2 linked regions of the Arabidopsis thaliana genome follow. The protein of the gene in region 2 purifies or fractionates together with the protein of the main gene of each other region. This does not show direct contact. Each region holds a gene or a part of one and is shown on either strand. Other genes may lie near its edges. The genes, in order: AT3G07660 and AT3G13990.

The links.
Region 1: the proteins of AT3G13990 (region 2) and AT3G07660 fractionate together in Arabidopsis thaliana (co-fractionation; one large-scale study listed by BioGRID). This does not show direct contact.

The regions. Positions count from the first base shown.
Region 1 is NC_003074.8:2,441,955-2,454,439, forward strand, and holds AT3G07660 (flocculation protein (DUF1296)), read right to left. Parts: upstream 8,706-12,485; 5' UTR 8,419-8,705; coding exon 8,253-8,418; intron 7,607-8,252; coding exon 7,563-7,606; intron 7,449-7,562; coding exon 7,343-7,448; intron 7,039-7,342; coding exon 6,924-7,038; intron 6,748-6,923; coding exon 6,278-6,747; intron 6,054-6,277; coding exon 5,666-6,053; intron 5,150-5,665; coding exon 4,855-5,149; intron 4,679-4,854; coding exon 4,520-4,678; intron 4,192-4,519; coding exon 3,694-4,191; intron 3,606-3,693; coding exon 3,321-3,605; 3' UTR 2,734-3,320; downstream 1-2,733. Other genes in the region: COL9 (CONSTANS-like 9), read left to right, coding at 540-1,067, 1,169-1,339, 1,433-1,722, 1,818-1,947; AT3G07670 (Rubisco methyltransferase family protein), read left to right, coding at 9,697-10,080, 10,242-10,405, 10,484-10,567, 10,716-10,773, 10,928-10,981, 11,230-11,301, 11,403-11,483, 11,666-11,838 and 3 more.
Region 2 is NC_003074.8:4,622,627-4,634,545, forward strand, and holds AT3G13990 (dentin sialophosphoprotein, putative (DUF1296)), read right to left. Parts: upstream 7,988-11,919; 5' UTR 7,758-7,987; coding exon 7,580-7,757; intron 7,211-7,579; coding exon 7,167-7,210; intron 6,793-7,166; coding exon 6,621-6,792; intron 6,282-6,620; coding exon 6,149-6,281; intron 5,743-6,148; coding exon 5,216-5,742; intron 5,015-5,215; coding exon 4,675-5,014; intron 4,578-4,674; coding exon 4,316-4,577; intron 4,236-4,315; coding exon 4,140-4,235; intron 3,974-4,139; coding exon 3,512-3,973; intron 3,415-3,511; coding exon 3,082-3,414; 3' UTR 2,757-3,081; downstream 1-2,756. Other genes in the region: ATBRXL2 (DZC (Disease resistance/zinc finger/chromosome condensation-like region) domain containing protein), read right to left, coding at 8,544-8,622, 8,706-9,097, 9,195-9,330, 10,015-10,394, 10,590-10,727.

The sequences.
Region 1 (12,485 bases), 2.2 Mb from region 2:
TCATTGTATATCGATGAAGGGTTGGTTTTGATTTTTGTTGAATTGGATCTTTTGATTTGGGGTTTTAAAACTTGTTCGGATGATGATGATTGGGATTGATCCAAAAGTTTTCGTTATTTATTGGAAATTCAGATTTTTTCGATTCAGTTCCATTTGAACTAGTAAGTCAAACAAAATCTCTAGATTTACTGATCTGGGGTTTATACTTTGAAGCTTGAGTTGTTGTTGTTTTATTAATTTATTTCGATTTTCAGTAATATCCATTTGTAGGTTTTGGTCTCTGACTCTTGTTTATAATAAAAGCTCTGTATTGAGTAAAATCTCATGAAAGTAGGTTTCCTTTCCCTTTTTTATCCTTCTCCTTTGGTTATTAATCTCCTACAACCTTTTTTTAGAAATTACTACCTATATTCAGAAAGATTCCATCTATTTCTTCTTCAAGGCTTGCTTTTTTGAACCAAAAGTCTCTCTCTTTTTCATCTAATAATTTGTTTACTTTTTTGGACAGCAGAAAGTTGATTTGGTCAGAGCCAAGGAAGATGGGTTACATGTGTGACTTCTGTGGTGAACAAAGATCTATGGTGTACTGTCGATCCGATGCAGCTTGTTTGTGTCTCTCCTGTGACCGGAGTGTTCATTCCGCTAATGCATTGTCCAAACGACATTCTCGGACACTTGTCTGCGAGAGATGCAATGCTCAGCCTGCTACTGTCAGGTGTGTTGAAGAAAGGGTTTCACTCTGTCAAAACTGTGACTGGTCTGGCCACAACAACAGCAACAACAACAATTCTTCGTCTTCTTCTACTTCGCCGCAGCAGCATAAGAGGCAAACCATAAGTTGCTATTCGGGTTGCCCTTCCAGCTCAGAACTCGCTTCCATTTGGTCTTTCTGTTTGGACTTAGCTGGACAATCTATTTGTGAACAAGAACTGGGTATGATGAATATAGACGATGATGGTCCTACCGACAAGAAAACTTGTAATGAGGATAAGAAAGATGTCTTGGTTGGATCCTCTTCAATTCCTGAAACCAGTTCTGTACCACAAGGAAAATCATCTTCTGCTAAGGTAACTTTTTTTCTCAATATGTTATTACTTTTGCATCCATGGATATACATATCTATCATTTCTTTACTAAATTCAGAGTTGTTGTTTGTTTTGGTTTAAAGGATGTTGGAATGTGTGAAGATGACTTCTACGGGAACCTTGGTATGGATGAAGTTGACATGGCACTTGAGAACTATGAAGAACTCTTTGGTACCGCCTTTAACCCCTCTGAAGAGCTATTCGGGCATGGTGGAATCGATAGCCTTTTCCATAAGCACCAAACAGCTCCAGAGGTTTTTATCCATTACCCTTTCTTCTTAGATTTATCAAATTGGATGCATCTCTGTGTGATTCTAATAATGCTCTCTTGTTTTTGCTCAATCCAGGGAGGGAATTCGGTGCAGCCAGCAGGCAGTAATGATTCGTTCATGAGTTCGAAAACTGAGCCAATAATTTGCTTCGCATCGAAGCCAGCACATTCGAACATATCCTTCTCTGGAGTCACTGGAGAAAGTAGTGCTGGAGATTTCCAAGAATGTGGTGCATCATCTTCCATACAGCTCTCGGGGGAGCCACCATGGTATCCTCCAACATTACAGGATAACAATGCCTGCTCACATTCAGTAACCCGTAATAACGCAGTTATGCGTTACAAGGAGAAGAAGAAGGCTCGCAAGTAAGTAGTAGTCTGAAACTGCAAATACATGAGCATCATTGAAGTGAGTGCAGGATTTTCCTAATGTGACTCTGGCTTCTTTTTTCTGGAAACAGGTTTGATAAGAGAGTGAGGTATGCTTCCCGCAAAGCAAGAGCTGATGTGAGACGGCGTGTAAAGGGGCGATTTGTCAAAGCTGGTGAAGCTTATGATTACGACCCTCTCACCCCAACCAGAAGTTATTGAAGACTCCTTTTGAAAGGTACATAGATATATATACATGGCGAAGAATCGAACAAGAAAGGTTTTGACTTATGGGCAGTTTCAAGTGAGCAACTTGGAAAATTGTGGGTTAGTAACAAAACAAGACTACTGTAGCATGAACAGATTTCAAGACTGACTCTTGTAAGCAATCATTCATTCTTGGGATTCAATCGTTTTTTTTGGCCTCAGAAGCTTCATTCTTGACCAGAGGGATTATTCTCTGACTTTCCTTGTCCAAACTCCGGTTTCTTCTTCTTCTTCTTCAGGCGTCTCACACTGATCAGGGTTCCATGAATTTTGTTCTTCTCTTGGTAGTTAAAAAGGCAGGGAAGGAGATTTAGAGTAATTTAAACAATATGTGATTGTTGTATATGCCTTTGTATTTGTTTGTATACTCATAAATGTTTTTCTGTTTTGTACTCGGCATTCTTGTAAATTAAAGACATTATCCACATTCTTCTATAGACAAAGAAAGTTATGTGGTACCACTTAACCTAAGTCTCGTTCTGTAACAACCGACTAGTACTAGTTCAAGTTTAACGAGATTTTGGTTTGTAGTAACTTCAAGAGGTTGATCCAACAATGAGGCAATGCAAAACATCTGAACTTTATTATTTAAATGTCAGATTATAAAGGGGAGTCCATTTATGTGAGTTTAGGCGCTTTATCGCTGTTTACTTAAACTTAGCTTCTACTATGTCAATTTTGAACACTTATCAAAAGTGATTGAGATGCAAAACAGTAGTTTTCAAGATGACATATGGACCAAAAGTTTTTAACATTTATATTTGGAGTATTTCGGATTTTACAACTTAATGTGAATTTTCTTGAAGACTCATATTCACAAGCCTTAATTTTCGAATTGAGGAATAAACATTCAGAGAAAGTTGATTCGCGAGCAAGAAATTTGTCCAATTTGATTGCTGACTCGGATTTGAAAACATTGACCAAAGGCTAAGAAAAGAAGGAAGAGAGGAAGAGTCTTCAGATACAGACTCAGGTAGCAAAGTTCTTGTCTTAGCTCAGAAACTTAAAAAGAGAGCTAAAAAAGACCTCTTAAAAGCTAAGAAAGAAAAAAATTTGCTAAATCAAAAGAAAAAAAAAAAGATATAGAAAACACCAAAACACTGGTTTCATACAATACCTTTCCCTACCCTTATGATCATTCTCTCTGTAAATCTCCTTCATGCTTAAGCCTTCAACTTCATAGCTTCATCTCTTTGGTAATTTGTTAGATGGCACACACACACACACGCAAGTCAACAAAAACCCGCACCCATATATCTTTCCTGATTTCTCTGGAATTTGAAACTTGTTGAATCTTCAAAATCTTTTTCTCCTTTATACTTCCTGTTTCAGTAATTACTTGGCCAATTCATCTGTGTTTGCTGAGGCTGTTGGAAAACGTTAGGCGCAGGTGCAACCATTTCAGCTCCAGCCACACCTTGAGACTGTTGTAAAAGCGGATGATGGACTCCTGTTGCTGTTACTGCTTGTCCCGGATGGTACATACCTGGGAATGCGACGTGACCAGCTTGTGCTGGAGCATAAGTCACGTGTTGCCCATGGTGCTGTAAACCATAGAAAGAGCTTGGCACATCTCGTCCTGGTCCAGTAATCCATACAGGTAATGCTTCACTCTGCAGAGACCCCACAATTATAAATTAATCAGGAAAGGGAACTAAACTTTCAACTGAGTTGGTTTTGGGAGGGAGAGGGAATATGTACCTGTTGCCCTGTTGTACTGTAGCCGTTGTTTTCTTTCAACTGCAATGAGTTGAGATCCTCATTGGAAGTCGAATTCCCGGCCGATGCAGCAGAGGTGGGATTATATCCTGCTGGGAAAGACCCATATGTTGGTCCATACCCACCAGTAATACCGACATGAGTCATGTTTCCTGTATTAGTCCCAGGCTTGTAATGAGGGAGTGTGTATTTGCCTCCTGTTGCAGTTCCAGGAGGTGGAGGATATACACCGCTTGCCTGAGGTTGCTGAGCATATGCACCATTGCTTAAGTATTGGTGCATTGTAGGGGGAGGTAAATAGAATGGGGAGAAGTATCCATATGGCACGTAGTTTGGTGGATAATGCGACATATGTAAGCCCGGAGGGCGGAAAACAGGAACAGGCTGCTGCGTGACAGGTATAGAGCTCTGCATTAGTCCAGCAGCTTGAGTTACCAGTGGTGGTGGACTAGCAGTAGACAGGACCAAGTTATTTCCACCCTACAAATCAACATGTTCAAGCATTTCAGACCAGAAAAGTAATAATAACAGCTATATTTTTATCTTTCAAACGTGTTATAGGGCTTCTGAACATATAAATATGCAGTCCAATTAGAAACCATAGGTTTACTTCAATTTTATCAAGAAGAAAAAATGAGACTTAGATCCAAGTAGCTGACATGAAAATTTGACTATTTGATTGATGATGCTACTGTTGGAAGATTGAATTAAACGAAAAAGTCTCAAAACCATCTTAAATTAGATCAAAATCGTGAAGGTGTGAATTATAAAATAAAATAAAAGGTTAACCCCCAAAAACTACACTAACCTCTTGCATGGTTTGAGATGAATGCGGAGGCAATACTGTAATCCCATTAAATTTGGAGGCAACCCCTGGGGAAACGAAGGGAGAAACACGGCCATCACTGTCAGGACCTGAGCGGTAGAACTGAGCATAGTAGCTCGCCGTATCAAAAGGTTGTTGGCCCTTCAAACAACAAAAGTATAGTTCATTACGAAGACATATTAGAGGTGACAATGCCTAAAAATTATATAATGAGCAAAATGTTACTGATCAATGAAGAGTATAAGCTAAGTATAATTAATGGTTTAAGTAGATCAACCATTCGAAAACTTGACAACTTAATGTAATTAAGGGCATACCATAAAACTGGGAAGACGAAGGGCATCACGTGCTTGAGGGTCAGAAGTCTCAAATTGTGGATGCTGGTTCCCAGGAGCTGGAGGAACAATCCCAATAATATTACTTGGAACCTGGTCAAACGAGTTTTGATTGCTTTCGGACTCCAACATATTCTCCTGCTTGGTGACATCATACTCTGGAGCTGTATTTGTTGCAGTATTACCTTCACCAGCCATATTATCTGGAACTTGTGAAGGTGACTCGGAGTAAACATTACCGTCCTCTTCTTTTTCAATCGAATGGACAGTTGGGTGCCTGAATGCATAAAAAAAGTTTCGCTTAGGGACTGGTCATATAAATATAGTTATATTTCAAGACATAAAGTTCAATAACTAGAAGTGAAAAAATTTGGGTTTCGTGTTCGGATAAGTGTTCATAATGTAAAGGTTATCATGACTTCCAGAAAATCAGTGACTGCACAAAATGTTTTACTTTCTGTTTGGAACTTAAGAGCCAAGCAGGACAAAGAGTTGTTTCTATGAACAAAACCCACTTAACTATTGACACTATCAGTTCAACTGACACCCTACACAGCATGACAAAAAGATATATATTTTGTTGACCTAGAACCTGATATACACCGTAGTGCTTTGGAAGTTTCGGCTATGCTACTAAGCAAAACAAGCGACTACACTAGGAAATTTCTCTTACCTATTTCCATCAGTAATCTATTATTCACAACTTCTTTCTAGCTCATTTCACTCTAAATTTAGAGTATTTATTCGCATAACAACATCAACAATAATTGACAAAGTAGAGAAAGGTAGATACCTAAATTCCTCCTCTGCAAAACTTTCTTCAACTTCCTGCGAATTATGAGAAAGAGGTGCAGATCTCTTTTCACTCTGAGGAAAGGCTACTGTGCTAGACGTAATAGAAAAGTCAGCATCAAAGCTTCCAAAGCTTAACTTGGTTCGTTCAGCCTCTGGAACAAGAATATGGTTTGGAATAATAACATGCTGACGTTGAATCTGCAAGTCTTCAAGCTGTCTCTGCAATCTGGATGTGGCTTCTGCCGAAGGGGTAGCATCTTCAACTGATTTGTCACTGGCTTCAGTAGGAACTGCAAGAGTTTCACCTGTAGATGATGCACCAGAGCCCTGGGTAGTGTTATGGTTCACTACTGGCTTCGGTTTCCATTCCTTAATGGAACCAGCACCTAGAAACAAGTATCATTGACATAAAGATGTCAGAAGATTCCAGTCTTGTGCAAATAAAAAAACAAAAGAAATACAATAATGAAGAACTGCAGCAGACAAAAAGTGTTTCCTGTAAAAGCAAGTCCCGCTGTATGCACATTTTATCATCTGGAATATGTACTATATGTTTCTTATCACAGATAGTAGAAATCCAGTACAGCAAAAATAAATGTATCACTGTTACCTCTTTGAGGACCGACAGTCTGATGTGACCGATTACTGTAGTTAGAAGAAGGCCGACTACCCGTGCTGTTGCTATGAGATGAAGCAGGCCTTGAACCATAAGTATCATTCACGGCAGTCTTCCCAACCCCACGGGATCTGGTATGGGACTTGCTTTCTCCAATGTGCTGTTCAGGTGCTGTTTGCTCTGATTTGGGATTTGAAGATGTGAATCGAACTTCAGAAGAGGATGGACGAGGGAGTGGCAGAGAATCAACTGCCTTCTGCTCAGTATGCACAACCCTAGAGCCAACTGCTACACGATTTTTGCTTAATTCCACAGAAGACGGTGCACCATCAATGTTGTTTGAGGGCACTGAAGATCGGCCAGCTTTAAGTTGACCTGAACCAGCTGGTAGGTTGGAAGACTGGCGAACATCAGAGCTTCCTGATTTCGGACCAACAGTACTTTTATCCATCACAGCAGAATGGCTGTAAACCAAAAAACACAAAACAAAAATCATGAGAAGGATCATCTATAGAGTATATCCATGCTGGAAAAAGGCCCACCCATCTTTAACTGAGGGTGTTATACATCCACCTATAAGTCACATAGAATCAAGGAGAATGATACATAAAAGGAATTAGTACTATAGGATGACAATCACCTTGAGACCAGAGCTATATCTTTCGTTTTTATCTCTTGAGAGGTTGAAGTTGATGGATCAATAACCTGCTTTGGACCGTTTTCTTTTTTGAAAGAATTCTTTGCACCAGCAACATCTGATCAGAAGTAAACATTCACCACACAGTTCATCAATTACAGAAAAATTAAAAAGCAACATGTTACAGACTGCCGCTAGGGAACTTTCTCTTTCACATTCTTTCGCTAAACATACTAAAAGCCAATCATGAACACAACTAGTATGTCCTAGGAGGAAAATCAGGAAAGAATCAATACTGAGTAAATATAACAAAAAGTATTGTGACCGCAAGTAACCACCTTCCAGAGACAACTAATGTGGCATATTAAGAGATGCGAGTTCATATGATTGTAAAACATTGAGTTCATCAGATTGTTATTTACCATTTGATGCATGACGAGAAGAGAAATTCATCCGACCACCCCTGCTACCACGGCCCCCTCCACCAGATCTCCATTGTGATTCAGCAGAATCCTTGTTGTTGATGTTCTGTACCATTTCAATAACATTGTCAATACCCATGTCCCAAATATATGCGGTTTAATAGACATCCTTTACACAGAAACCCATGAAGAGACCAAAAGAACTGCAAAAACCCCATACCTCTTTCCTCTTATCACGCTTTTTTTTAACCTCATGGAATGGATCTGCAGAGTCATAAACAATTTTTTGCATTAGCACATAAGATTGTATAGAAAAACACAACAAAAAAAAACTTAAAACATATCCTAGCAACCATCTCTAAATTACATGGTACACAAGCAGGTTACATGAAGCACTCGAAAAGCCTGATGCAATACCACATCTCCAAAGAATCCTATTTTCATAACAATTTGTTTTGGTAAGATGATGAAAATGTGGATTTCTAAGCACTAGATTCATCTACAACGCAGCAGTCTTTGTTTAGAACTCATACCTAGCAAAAGTATTATTCCTAGACAAACCACTCAGAAAAATTCTAGTTAGAAGCTAATTCTCTTTGTTTCACACATCACTAGTGTAAGTAATTGATTCCCGTATATTCCAAATCAATTCGTGAACCTTTTTTTGTGAAAAGGAGGTTACAACACAATATCACATAAACAACTAGAGACAGCTTAAAACTTAATAGGCGAAGAAACCGATGATAGTGAATTCAGATAAAATCTGAAAAAAAAAAATCAAAGAGCAGAGAAATCAGATGCTAAAACCTAAGTTACAGGAGAAAACCCCAAATCGAAAAATACAATCTCGATCCAATCAAAGAAGAGAAATTAGGTAAAGAAAAAAGTGCAGAGAAGGTCGAGATTATACCCTGAAGAAGTAAGCGTTGAGCGGTCTCATCAGGATCCATGTTACATTCATGAAGCATTGCGATAATCTCATCCTCGCTATAGTTCCCAGCAGTGGTCTCCTTAATGTTCTGAATCATCTTCCGAGTAGTAGCCGAAATCGAAACCCTAGCGCCACTGCCGACCATCCTCTCTTCTATCAAACGTAAAATCTCGCTTCTGATATTTTAACAGGAATCGAAATCTGGACCTAGACCAAAAGAGGTCTGAGTACCTATATATGTATACGAAGAGGCGAGTGATAAATCAGTACGAGAGGATGGGATTTGAAACTAGTTTGGGTCGACGAAGGAGAAGAAGAAAGAAGAAGGAACAAGAAAAAAAAAAAAAAAAGAGGAAGGGGGCGAGAGAAAGGAATGAGCAAAATAATACGCACTGTGATTTTGGAAGCGTAGGGCTCTCTTTTCTTTTTTCAATTTTGTTTTGCATTCCTTTGTAGCTTTTTAATATTGAGTTTTTTTGTTTGTTTTAATCTGAATCTTTGGTAAATAATGATAACCAAATTGTTGTCACAATCTTTTTTTGTCCACAAATATATTTAAATTAGGATTTAGGATATCTTCTGAATATTTACACTACATAATAATGACAAACATAAAACATAGTATTTAAGAAAATAAGAAGAAGATAAGTTTTGATTGTAACTTGATCATATTAAATCTCAACTATCTCAAACGATGTTACCCATATCATTATGAGATGAGCGATTTAATGATTAGCATATTATTATTTATATTTTTACATCTCAGTAACGTATTATTGTTTTCTATGTAAATATTTAAATTATCAAATAATTATAATACGTTATTATTATCCCCACCATGATAATTACATATATATTTAATTTACTGAATAAGTTTATTTTTTTTGTCTTTGGTAATTTCTTTTACAATACCAAATTAAAATATTTTAAAAATTGGATTTCAAAAACATAATGAGTTATATGGTTGTCCAAATATTTACCAGGTCCAGTACGCTTTTAGCATTATTAATAGCAATTAGCAACTCTAGGGATTGTCATTTACATAAACAAATCTTCAATTTTTTCATTAATTTTCCTGTGTTTTGGGTCCCTATTGCTTCTAAATTCTAATAAACCGTCCAGATATTGCTGTTATGGAAACAATTTTTCAATAAATCTCATCAACTGATTCTATCAAAATCTAATCACTAGGCTTTTTCCCATTAGCATTAGCGCATAACAAAGTTTTGAATATTAATATCATTATCCATAGGCAGCTTAGATTTTTTTTCCTTAGCATCAAATTAAACTCAAAACCGAACCAAACCGTAAATCCACAAACTAATTTTGGTTCGAATTTAAAAACATTATCTTTTAATTTTGTCATGCCCCCTCTGCTAAGTGCAACCATTCGTCTTCTCGCTTCATCGTTTTCTCTTTTCCGATGGCAAAAGCTTGCCTCTTGCAGTCTACTCTACTCCCAGCTTACTCTCCACTTCACAAACTTCGTAATCAAAACATCACCCTCTCTTTCTCACCGCTTCCGCTGTCCCGATGCCGTCCCGGAATCCACTGCTCAGTTTCGGCCGGTGAGACTACAATACAATCCATGGAGGAAGCTCCGAAGATATCATGGGGATGCGAGATTGATTCACTTGAGAACGCTACTTCTCTTCAGAACTGGCTCTCTGATTCAGGTCTCCCTCCGCAGAAAATGGCTATTGATAGAGTCGACATCGGTGAGCGAGGCCTCGTCGCTTCACAGAATCTCAGAAAAGGAGAGAAATTGCTCTTCGTTCCTCCTTCTCTCGTCATCAGTGCTGATTCCGTAAGTTCACACTCCTAATTTCACTCGGAATCAAAGAATCTAATCTTATATTCCTTGATCTCACTTGCAAGCAATCCCTCACCTCTTGTTCAGATCAATGCAAGGTTAAAGTATCTGGCTTTCATGAATGTGAATATCTAATATCGGAGATTGGGTTTTAGGAATGGACCAACGCAGAAGCTGGTGAAGTGATGAAACGTTATGATGTTCCAGATTGGCCTTTGCTCGCCACTTATCTTATAAGTGAAGCAAGTCTTCAGAAAAGCTCAAGATGGTTTAACTATATCTCAGCTCTTCCCCGACAACCTTACTCGCTTTTATACTGGTAAGTTTTGTACTTGTTTCTGTAGCTGAACTTTGGTCTCAGTTTCTTACTCCCTACAGCCTTTTTGTACTATTTCAGGACTCGGACAGAGCTTGATATGTACTTGGAAGCTTCTCAGATTCGAGAACGGGCAATTGAAAGAATCACCAATGTTGTTGGAACGTGAGATATTGTTCTTTCTTTCTTTCTTTCTCTCAACTGCTGGAAATCATTGATGCAGTCACTAGTACTTATTGTTTGTAGGCTAGGGGGTTGATGATTATGTCTTGCAAGACACTGCTCATGTCTTTTTCCTTTTTCTTTTCCTCAGTTATGAAGATCTAAGAAGCAGGATATTTTCCAAACACCCTCAACTTTTCCCTAAAGAGGTAACTGGTATACGCCCATTTTGCTACAGCTTACTATTTGGACATGTAATAAGATGCACTTCTGTAATTACAACTAGTGTTGGTTCTATTTTATTATCTGAGCTTAAATTTGTTTTGTCCACATGTATATGAGTGTGCTATTTCTTGGTTGCAGGTTTTCAATGATGAGACATTTAAGTGGTCTTTTGGAATCCTATTCTCACGGTTGGTAAGAACTACTGTATCATAAGCAATCATTATCTTGATAATTGATGTAAATCTAGATGTCTTGAATTTGAAACAACAGACTTGTTCTTTAATCTTAGCATGACTTTCTGCATAATATAGCTGTCTCCAACAATTTATTGTTTGAACAATGACCACTCACAACCAAAATATTGCATTATTTCGTTTCTCTTTCCTTCCGTGTGCTGCGTGCTTGTCTCTGCAATTCAGACTTAAGCTTCTCTAACACAGGTGCGGTTGCCTTCTATGGATGGAAGATTTGCCTTAGTTCCATGGGCAGATATGCTTAATCATAATTGTGAGGTACTTCTACTTATCTTTATGACCAATTAGCTCCTAGATTCTCCTAATCAGAAAGCATGATTGACTTATGGTAATCAATATTTCAAAATCTGCTTGGAAAGGTTGAGACGTTCCTGGATTATGATAAATCTTCAAAAGGAGTTGTCTTTACAACAGATCGACCATATCAACCAGGTGAGCAGGTAAATAAGATAAATTCATTCAGATAACCTGAGCGAGCATTGAAGTTTAATATAAGTCAGTGTATAACACAAAGAAGTCCCGTTTACACAGTTTGCCTTTTAGCGCTTCAGTAAGTCAGTCCAAAGTGGAACCAATGTTGTCTGAAGTCTCTGATATGTTTCAGTAACATGACATTGTGCAGGTTTTCATATCCTATGGGAATAAATCTAACGGAGAGCTATTGTTATCTTATGGGTTTGTTCCCAGAGAAGGAACCAATCCTAGTGATTCAGTAGAACTAGCATTATCACTTAGGAAAAACGATAAGTGTTACGAGGAAAAGCTGGATGCTTTAAAGAAACACGGATTATCGACGTATTCCATTCTCCACCATCCATGTTCCCCTCTCAAATTTGTAGATCTCTCTTGATTAACTTGAGTTTTGTTTTGATTGTTTGTGTTAACTTTTCTCTGGCAGACCTCAATGCTTTCCCGTAAGGATAACGGGTTGGCCAATGGAGCTAATGGCATATGCTTATCTTGTGGTGAGCCCTCCAGATATGAGAAACAACTTTGAAGAGGTTTGGCAACTCCATCTTGACCCTTTTTACCATCCAATTCTTCCCAAATTCATAATACATCTCTTATCAATTATTATCCATTTCAGATGGCGAAAGCTGCTTCAAATAAGACATCAACAAAGAATGATCTAAAATATCCTGAAATCGAGGAAGACGCATTGCAGTTCATACTGGACTCATGCGAAACAAGCATATCAAAGTACAGCCGATTTCTAAAGGTAAGTAACAAAACAGCTCATCTCTCTCTCTTTGTGGGAAAATTTTCACTCCATCTGCTTATAGTTTGCTTTGTCAATTATCTAATTGTAGGAAAGTGGATCAATGGATTTGGACATAACATCTCCAAAACAGTTGAACCGAAAAGCGTTTCTGAAACAGCTAGCTGTAGACTTGTCCACTAGTGAGCGCAGGATACTGTACCGTGCTCAATACGTAAGGAAC
Region 2 (11,919 bases):
TTTCAGGTTTGATCTCTTACATTTACAGCTTCATTTTAATTTTGAATCATTGAGATGATGAACGTATGTCTACAATTCTTTTGAACAATTGTATATTGAAGAAAAAAAACATGTCTTAATATTTAATTAAACGCAATATCAAATTCTCCGAAGTAAGTTTCAAATTAAATATTCTTACGCACACCATGGGACAAAATTAGTATAATTAGTCTCCACATGTAATGATATGTAAAGCTAATTGCTTATACGGTTTAGCTAACGGAAAGCGCTTTTGATACACAAAGAAGGAATATAAATACTAATGACTTTTTAGCCGCAAGATCTTTGGAAAATTATATAGTTTCGTTATCTCATATTTTTATTTTAATGGTGTTCTTAAATCTTAAGAGAAATTCCAATAATAGAATGATGCTAATAATGCATAAGCATGCGGTGCCTAGTTATATTGTTTTTTTTTTTTTGAGTGGTGTCGTTTGTGTAATATAGACAGGAGATCTAAAGTATTTTAGTAAATTTAAAATGTAAATCTCCCTTGCCAAATTAAATTTGGGTTTGAGATTTATGTCTGAATAATACAATGTTTAATACTTTAATTAGAGAATGTGTGCCAGGAAGAAGAATTCATGTTAAAAAGATGATGGCGCTCATTTGCAAAATGATTACTCCCGTGGCCTAAGGGAAACTCCATTTCTTTTTACTATAGTACATATGTTCATGAATCAATTGAAAAACAATTGAAACGAGTTATTTTTGTAAAGTAACTAGTTTTTTCTATAAAAAAAAGGAATATGGGAAATTCGACTATTGAATGCACACAACACAGGCATGTTATTTTTAATGAACGCCCCTTCGATTCCACGAAACTTCACATTCGTGGAGCTCTTCATTAAACGGACCCATCTTCTACAATTAATATCGATCCTCTGTGTGTGTGGAACCGTGAATGGGTATATATATATATTTGGAACCTTATATCAAAATGATTTAAATGAAAAGTGCGTTATAGTTCAAGACTTCAAGTAATGTTAAGTCTTAATAATTACTACATTTCATTGGGTAAATTTTACATGTTGTATAAAAATCGTCCATGTCAATCTTACAATCTCTCAAGTTTTGTAAATATATCGCATATCATATATGCTGTTGCGCAACAAAAAACAAATGGTTTTTTTTTTATATACATATGATATCATCTTATAACGCACACCATAGGCAGAAACAAAGAGATAAATAAAGAGAAAAGATCAAAAGAGCTACTATGTACAAATGAACAGAAGTTGCAGGGGATTCCACGCATGTGTGGATATGATAAACAAAAGAAAGACAAAAGATTCCGATCACATCATAATTGAGTTGGTGCATGCAATAGCAAAAGCAGATTCCATTTCAATCAAATAGCTAAAGAGCACACTCGTCCAAACTCTTTATGAGAAACGTTTGATTTTAATATTTTCCCTCTAACAGCCCAACAAACAAGAATATATACTTACTATTATGATACCATACAACAATGTTGTTGGTGTATATATCAGTCAGTGTATGGATATCTATAAATCACTCCATTATCTCTGATTTGACATGTCAGGTTCACAGTGACATACAACGTTTCAAACTTTTCATCGTTCATAGAAAACAATTTCCTACTATAAAAATTACGTGTCGAATTTACGCAAAATTTAGATGATTTGTAGGGAGAAATTCAAATCTTTATGATTCAATATTAACAAACCAGCCTTGATTTAACAGAAGTAGTAAGGAGTTAGGGGTCATGCTTGTAAATCTCTAAAACCGATCATGGGACCTTTTGACTTATTGAGGATAAGTAAACATAATTGATTTTCAATTAAATTTTGCTAATTCTTCTTATTTTCTTATAATCTTTCTACGAGATATATAGAATAGGGTCAAAAAGAGCTAACATTTCACATCATTATCCCTCTAACATGCGGGTTATCTTAAGTTATGAAGTATGAACCCTAAGCCTCTACTCTACTCTAGCTATAGTCTCAATCAAAAATTACTTTTTTAATTACAAAATCTCCTCAATCATTTTCAGTACCATTTTAAATCACAAAGAACAAATTTATAGAATTTTCAGAGAATCTCAAGCCAATCCTTACTTGTGCGGTAGGTGTTATCAATAGTGAAATTACGTTTAATAAAACCTAGACCGGTCAAAATGGGACAAATTAATAGAGTATTAGTGACTCAACATCATGGAGTCTCAAGAGATTCGTAGAGAGTAATCATTTCTCAATAAGGTAGGACTTAGGAGGCCTATTAAATCAGAGAAGGAATCAAAGTCCGTACCAATTAGGCTCTAAGTAAACTCTAGTTGGCTCCTTGATTAAGACCCACCTCCCCAAACTAAGTATATTTACTTTTCTAAATATGTCAACAAAACGATCAATTAGATTCTTTTGTTATGATGACACAGTGTGCTATGACACCTAAAAACTAAAGTAATCAAGGAGATAATCAAAACCTATAGGCCTGAGCTTCAACTAGTTCTCCGATTAAGAATATTTGTAATCTATTCTAAAGGCTAGAGGAAAGTTAGGTCAAGCTCAACAACTAATGATTCTCTATCAAGAATTTAATAAGGAATATGAGGAAATGGAGAGAGAAGACACATAACTCAAAGAAGAACATTGAACAGCTAAACAAAACACACAATTCTCTTTAATACTTGTAGAACATTGACAATGGGAAACACTAGCACCAAGCAACAATGTTTCACTCACAGGGTTCCACACTTAAAAACCTTCACATGCATTGTAGGGTTCTTGAAGTCGACCGAAACTATAATAGCAGTAAATGATTAAGAAGCACGGACAGGACTTTACCTTGACAATTTGACGCCATGGGAGAATAACACCATACCTGCAGCTGTAAATAATGAGGGGCTATGGAAGCAGACAAAGCATTTATAGACAAATTGTTGAGAGCTGGGAACATTTTATGCATTGAATAAATAAAGATTAATTAAAACAGAGTTTGGCGTTTCATAAGGAGAATCAAAATATTTGCTTTTGGCTATTATATAATCCATTAGACAAGAAGACAAAGGTTAGATTTTCTTCAGAAGTTTGATGGCCAATTCGGATGACCAAGTTGTGATTGCTGATAGGTACCAATTTGAGACGGAGGAGGAGAGGGAACGACACCGACTCCAACATTACCACTGAGGCCAGGTCCCATGTGGTGCGGATTCGCCATCGTACCAGGCTGTGACGGGTGGAAGAGACCCTGGAACTGCATGTGAGATGATTGCGCAGTTGGGTTGAACGATTGGTGTGCTGTATGGGATGATAAATAAGCACCATGAGGCGATTGTCCAGCTACGTTGTAATATGGAGACTGAAGGCTTGAAAGATCTCTTGGATTTTGCATCCATATCTCAGAAGTCTCAGCCTGTAGTGTTAGATAAGGAGACATGAATCAGAATAAAAAATAATTGGTAAAAACATAAAGTTCGGGCACAACTACCATACTTATCAATTATCATTACCTGAGGATTTGGAACGTAAATATTTCCATGTTTATTTATCATGCGAGATGGATCTTCAAGTCCCGTAGCGTTTCCAACTACATTGGGAGGATTAGTTGGATACCCATTAGGATTGTTGTAAGTCCCAAAACCCGCAGGTCCACCAGTTGGAACTGGTTTATATTGCTGATGGATTCCATACTTGACACCATTTGAACCGAGATGAGAACCGCCTCCAGGCATCAGCACATAGCTATTGCCATTTGAAGGGTGTGCATATGCTGCTGGGTTACCTGAGTAGCCTGGCATGGGCATTTGGGGAACATAGACTGGGGAAAGGAATTGACGATAAGGCATGAGATTGGGAAAATGCGAAACATGGACCTGCGGATACATCTGTTGCATTGATGCCTGCTGTTGTTGCTGTAACATGGGAATAGTGGATGGTGGGGCATTATTTAACATGTGAGCACTTAATCCCTGCTGCATTATCAAAAGGATACTTGATCAGTTTTTCCTAGTTAATAAAACAAAAAAGATAACTATGACACATGCACAAACCAACTGCTCAAACAGGAGCTAACTAGACTCTTACGCATCAACTCATGCTGGCAAACTAGTAACAACTAACAACAGAAACATAAATTACCTCGTGTGGAGATGGTAATCCTTGAACTCGTACAGTTTCATCCATTGCAGGACTAAAGTACGGAAATTCATAACTACCATGATTGTCATAAGCCTGCTGGAAAGGAAGAGCATGTCATTTTTGAATGAATTTATCTTTCCTTGATTTTTAAGAGTTAAAATTGCAAGAACCCTTACAGAAAATTTTTGCAACTCCGGAGGATCTTGCTGCTGTTCAAACTCCAAAGGAGTATAAGGTGGACCATTCCTATTGAGTAATTCAATCCCCGAGTACGCATCCAAATTGTCAGATCTATGAGTTTCTTTCTGTTCGGGTAACTGTGGCTCAGATACTGCCGAGACGGGTGAGTCAGATCTAGAAACTCTGACATGATCATCAATAGTGATAGGCAGAACGCCCGGACCATCTGCTGAAGCCTCAGGACAAGTAACTGGCGAACTGTCAACAATATCACCAAGTTAATTGGGGAAGATGCATGTGATCTCAAACTATATTCAAATGTACAAAAAAAAACCCACCAACTGTCAGAACTTACCTACGATCAGATTCTCTAACTTCTTCTGAAGAGTGTGATTCTTCGAAAGCAGATTCTGAATTCCTTGAGGAATTAAACTCTTGAACAAAGCTACCAAAAGTTAGCTGACAGCGGTCAGTCTCCGGGACACGAATATGATCTGCGATGATGACATTCTGACTTTCACTTATATGAACATGTGAAAGCTTATTCTGCAACTTGACGGCTTCTGTTTCCACATTTATGGAATTATCAGCAGGACGACGAGCTTGAGACTTTGTAGGTGTTCCAATTACTCCAGGGTTATGTCCAACAGGTTTCTGATTAGATTTAGGCTTCCACTCCTTGTTCTGTGAGGCTCCTGCAATAAGTACAGGTTGATCAAGAATATCAGAAGTCATGACAGGAAATGGCTTCTCACCAGGAATTCCCAATAGATTGAAAGAAGGGATTATATTACTCAAAGCAGAAGCTACACAGAAAATAAAGTGTCGCCTAGCAGAAATCAAATAAGAAATTGCACAACATCCATTCGGTTAATAAATATTTGCATATAAGTTACCCTTTGTATGGCCACCAACTTGTTGTGTTCTAGCATATTGGCTTCCTCTATTCCCACGCTGTCTGTTCAAATATGACCTATTCTTTTCCACTCCACTGGGCATAACAGACTCACGTGCAGTAGTTCGACTGTGATCAATCTTTGAAGTTGGGGAAGATGGTCGATGTGCATTTGGAGGTCCATTTTTTCTAATAGAGGACCCTGAAAAAGAGGGCACAGATGGATCTTTACCAACATTTTCAGAAGGTTTTCCACCTAAACCTCCACCCCTTACTTCACGTTTAATAGCTCCCACGGGTGATGATCTAGAAACAGGAGAAGGTACATGAACTGGATCTTTGGAAGACGAATATACACCAAGAACTGAATTGGTTGATGGCAAAGTAACTCCACCGAGTTCTTTATTGACAGGACAATGCAAAGGACGAATTTCAGCCTGTCTGAGCCTGGCATCTGCTGGAGCATTACACTCGTCAGTTGAATCTTGAGCCCCAGAAGAGTTACGATTGCCCAAACCACCTCTTGAGCTGGCAAACAGTTAAAATAGAGCGAAAATTTTATTTTCTTATTTAAATTCAGCATAGTTTTCTTGAAATTATGAGACAAGAAGTCCTTGTTGGGCTAGCAAAGGAATGCCTACCAAGTGAACATACACACTCCTATCTCCGTCTACCAAAACCCAATGGCAGTATGGCACAAAACTAATCTATGCTTCTTATTGTCTTAAAGAGTTCATTGACAAAAAAAAAAAAAAAAAAAAAGAGTCCTACTTTACTATTTTTTGGAAAAGTACAGCTAAAGCAAATTAACTCCCTTAAAATATTTTTACAAGAGTAACAAATCATTCTATTTCACATGTATAAAAGAAGGCAAGTTAGTGATAAAAATGCTAGAATAAGAACAATAGGATAAATTACAACTGATGATACATACCCCAATTTGTTCACAGTGGCAACCACTTTGTTAATATTTGATCCAGAGGACTGGGCAGAAGAATGCTTCAACTCTTCATCAACATTTGGATTAGACCTGTTGTCCCTAACAACGCGAAACTCTTTGTTGGATCCTGCACTAACATGAAACGAACAAATTACAAACAGACAGAAAAACATTTCTAGGTGAATATGGTCAATACATTACATAAAACTTGAAGGCCTCACGCCAATGGCCAATAACAAAGATTAAAAAAAAAAAACAAATCAACGCAAAACAATTTCTTCTACGTTTCCTTTGCTTGCCTGCATATATTTTTCTGGATTTAACCAAGTTCATTTGATACTGCCGTTATATAGATTATGTTTACGAACCATTCAAAAGACAGCTTAAAACAAATTAAAGATTTTTAGTACAACTGTACAAGCATGCGAAAGAAACTGGCAAGTATATCATCATCAAATTGATTTACCAGTAGCAGGATTTCTAGGAGATGCATTTCGTTGAGCAGCGTTCCTGGGGAAGAAATTCCTACTGTAGCCTCCTCTCCGAACATTATGTTCAGGCTGTGTACGAACTTTCACTTCACTGGTAACATTTTCAAGAGGTTTCTTTATGTTGGCAGGCTCAACAAATACTGTATCCTGAAACCAAAGGAACGCCCTAAAAATCAGAGGTTATACAAGAGGTGTCTTGATGATCTCTACAAATTCATCAAACTATTTGAATGGCTAGAAAAGTTGAAATTTTTTTTGACGATCAATTAAATTAGAAGGCACACAAAATACTAAACAAAACAAAAAAAAAATATAGCTTGCCACAGCAGACATCCGATGAGATATAATAGTCACACAAGCACAACTAACATTATGAAAAATCTAGTCACCTTCTTCAAATGCAGTTTCGAAAAGACTAAGGAGAGTCAAACAAAAAAACTACAATGTGGTTGCATTGGCAAAAATGTTAAAAAGGAGAAGAACTGGGAACAAGATACCATAACAGTTATATGTAACCTCACCTCTTTTTTCCTGTCTCTTTTTCTCTTCACCTCGTGAAATGGATCTGAACAAAACAAAAGCTTTTTAGCGAACCAAAACTATGATGGCAACAATAACACACATATTAGTCACCCAACGAAACGAGAGCCAAGAAAAGAAGACCAATAATATTTCAAGTATATAGTAATTGAAGTATTCTGAAGAGAATTGACAAATTATCGAAATGAAAACAAGAGTTATCCATCTATCGAATTATCAACAGAACTCCATCAAACGAAATTTGCATAACCTATCTACAGCATTCTACATACGCCTCAAACAAGATGTTGTAGCATTCATCGTGATCAAGATAATGCGGACCAGAGAACAAACAGTAAAACCCTAACTTCCGTCAAACTAGGAAAGCAGAAAAAGAGATGAAGAGAGAAGAAACCTTGATGAATCAGCTTCTCCACAGCCTCGTTAGCATCCATGTTAGCTTCTTTTAAGGCAGTGTAAATATCAGCATCGGAGTGACTATCCACAACTTCCTTAATCGATTGAATCATCTTTTTCGCTTCATCATCGAGTCCTACCCCACGATTACCGCTAGTTCTGGACCCAGTCACCATTACGGATCAAAGACGTATCGAATAAACCGAAACACACAAAAAACAAAGAAATTCAAGGATCGAGTAGCGAAACCAAGTGAGATCAGCGTAATCAAGGTAGATGCTAATGATTCGACTCTTAAACCCTAAAATCGGATAGAGCAACTACTAGGGTTTCGAGTACAGAGAAGAGGGAACGGCTTTAAGAGAACAAAAAAAAAAAAGAAGTTAGGATTTATTCTCACGCGTCGAAAAAATTGGTTCCAAATTCACTAATTGGATAAACCTAATTGACTATTTTACCCTTAATATAACTCAATAGAAAGATTAGTCAAAGGAGAAGTGAGAAATGGAAATTTCTAAGGAGATACAAGTTAGCTGGCAATTTAACTGGTTTTTACTTTATACATTTCTTATTCAGAACATTTAAGTACATGCCATAATTATTAGCACCAATCATGGTCAATATAATTAGAGAAAAAGTAATAAAGTGCACAAAGTGTAATTTTCAAATCCAATAATATGAATTTTCTTAGTATTAAACTATATACAGTACATTACCTTAAGAAAATAACACCAAGAAAATCCAGTAAAACTAATACCTCCTCTTTATAGATAGATGTAGATGAGAAAGAAGAGAAAGAGATGTACTAACAACCACCAACTAAAAAGCACATTCATTATCTGAATCCCAAGTTATTTCCATCACTCTGTAGCTTTTTTCCAAGTAAAACATATAAAAGAAAAGTGTTTTGTTTTGGTGTGTGTCAGATTCTTCTCTAGAGAGCCTTCGACCGTCATCGGTCATCACAAGTATTGTTGTTGTATCCGAGCTCTGTTCTGCTCCCACCACAATCTTGCATTCGTTTCCCCAAACTTCTCTCGGCTACAACCACAAAGACAATGTTGTTAAAGTGCTTGCTTTTGAAAGGGTTTTACTAAGGAACAGAGAAAGTAATGTATCTTTACCTGAAGCGAACACGCCTAAGCTCGCGAGTCCCATCTGGTAAAGCTCTGATTGTGATGTAAACACCTGCTTCGTCCTGTTCCACCCATTCTGTTTCAATGTCACTTGCATTACTTACAGATAGCTCCTCCCCTGAATGATCTGCTTCTTCTTCTTCCCTTGAGAAGCTACTTCTTGCAGACTCATCAACAGATGATGTCTCGGTTTTTGTCCCACTTATGCTAGAGAGTTTTGGTGTTGTAGCAAGACCAGATGAATCATGGTGTCGACTTTGTGTTTGGGTTGTTGGTTGGTGAGCGAGTGAGCCAGAAGAAGCGTAGCCTTTTCCTCGAGAGCATTCTTTGTTCAGAGGTGGAGTTGCAGGACCATTCTTGGTAGACTGAATTCGCGAGCTCTGGTATACCAAATTAAAACTAGTTAGACCTCAAAGTATCAAAGACAGGTTTTGATGAGTAGATTCATGTGTTCAGAAGTGAAGAGGGTGCATATACCCCATCTTCAGATCTAGGAGGAGTTGGAAGTGGGACGCTCTGCTGATTGAACTGCTGTACATTGTATAATTCCATGACCTTGTCGAAATTCTCCGCCCACCACTTTTGAGCTTGCCATTTATCGAACATTTCACGGCTGCAAGTAATACAAATTTGAAGAAATCAACAAATTAGGAGCTGACTTAACCATATACAATACAGAACCAAAGAGCTACCAGGTTAACAGTCTTAGGTTCACAAAACTCAAGGGATCTGCAGTAAATTGTCAAAACTAGAATCTAGAAATATCAATCCTAGGGAGCTGAAGTGTTCCTCTTGCCATGAAGAAAGTTAGTTAGATCATCTTGCTCTCATTATATGTTCCACATACAAAAAGAACTTTACGAAATTCACAAACACTTCCCCACACAATTGTCCTTGGGGAATTCATTTAAGTTCTCCATCGGATTCAACTACCGAAATATAACCCACATCTCAAAGACCTTTCTTGGCAAAAAGGATGTACAAGTTCTCATAATTATAAGAAATGGTTTGGGACCACTTCAATCGATTCAAGAAAAATGAAAGCAGCAACAGTTTCCAACACAGAAATCTCACATAATAATATCCTAAATATCAACTGTACTCTCACATTGCTTGTCTCCAAGAACCACACATCTCTACTTCCAAAATCAAATTAAACAATTTCAAAACAGTATGGATTAGTTCATTTGAGTATCATCTTCAATATTCCTGATTGGAAACATATTGTACCATCTTGATTAAGTCCAATATCCAAACTTTTACTTAGTGTAAATCCTACAAAACAGTTAAAAATTACCTGAACCGAATCCGCTTCATATCATTCCCTCCCTCAGGCAATGATACAAATGTGATGAGGACACCAGGCTCCACTTGAGCAACCCATTCCTTGAGCTCATCTTCTTCCTCCATGAACACTGTAGACTCTGTCCTACCACTCATGGATTCAGGTGTTCCTTCTCCACTCAAAAAACCTTTCAACCTTGACTCCATTTCCTTCCCCAAAATCTTCGGTGTTGAGCTTCCACTCCCCGCTCTCTTGTACGCATAACGAAACCTCCCAGAATTCGAAGCAACATCCGAATCAGCGTAGCTTCGGTTCTTATTCTGATTAGACGACCCAGAACACGGTTTGCAGCTTTTGTAAGCACCTGATGCTTTTACTGCCATGTCTTTAATCTGAAGATTCACATACAAGAATCACATGTTATTCACAAAATTAAATACACAGTGAAAAACATTCTGAAAGTCACGGACTTAAATTGATTTGTTCTTAGCTTCCAAACAGAAACCAACAAGAGCAAAAAATGGTCCTTTTCTCATTTGTGTTTTTTTTTCGTGAAAGTGACACAGAGGAAGAATGTTTATCTCTACCTGTGACGTCAGGGACTTAATCTGCTTAGACCTGGGTGTTTCAATAACTCTGTCTTCTTCTTCTTCATCCTCTTCTTGTTTCTTAGATCCACCATTGTTGGTGTTTAGCTGCTTCGTACAAGCTATGCATGTCAGCATCTCTATCACTCACTAAAGAGTTTCAATTTCGACCTGAGAATTTAGAAGAATGAAACCCAAGTCACTTCCTCCACCAAAAATAATCAAATCTAAGAAATGAGAACCCAAAAAGGCTCATAATTTGTACCTTTTTTTGCAACAGTAGTTACGCACTTCAACTTCTACCTTCCAATATATAAACTCAACACTCACTAAAGTCGATTGCTTTTCTCTCAACCACAGAGATTCAGATGTAAAACCCCACCGGTGAAATGACGGCGAAGGGAAGGAGGAGACCGTTGCGGCAGGGGAAAATTAGGGTACCAGGATCTGTAGATCAGACCTAGAAACGACTTCGCATTAAAGACTCTTCTTTTTTTTTAAACTCTCTGGGTCGGTTTACTTGTGGCTTGAAAGCTCTTATCAGAGAGATTGAGTGAGATACACTCTTAAATCTCAACACTTTATGAAATCCAAAGCCGAATGCAGAAGCAAAATGCAAAAAAGCTACGAATTTTTGGGGAGAGATAGAGAGAGAGAAGAGCTTTGATATTTGGGCTTTGAGATCGTCGGACACTGTGAAAGTTTGCGCACAAGTGTGGTGTTGTGTTCCTCCTCCTTCCTAATTCCTATATTAAACAAAAAAGCTCTACTCTTTTCTTTTTCTTCAGAGAAAAAAAAACAGTAATGGCTATTTTCAGATTCGTCTTTAAGTTTGATACTTATGGATTATTATGACCAAAACCAAAAAAAAACAAAAACGTAACACAGTTTTTACTAACATAGATTAACCAATTGAATAGTTCTACAGCTTTATTGCTATTTTTTAATATCCGCATTTTGTCAACTTTTGATTTATTATTTATATTAAATTACTTAGTTTTGAATCGTCTTGTATTTCATTTGCTAACATAACTAGTAGTATATTCTTCAATTTTACTGCTTTGAGAGTGAAGAAATCGGACCAAGAAAATTTCAAATGTTATTCTCTTCTTTATTTCCTAGTTTTTTTTCTTTATTCTCTTTTCCCTTTTCTTGCTTTTTTTTAAAAAAAAGAACAAATAAAACTATTTTCATAGAAATAATGAAGCCGTGCAAAATATCCATGGTGTGGCCACATATTGACACGTGCATTTTTAAATGATTTTGGCTGTCTAATTTTGCACCCAAATAAAGGAAAAGAAAAAGGAAACCAAATAACTAATCCATTTTG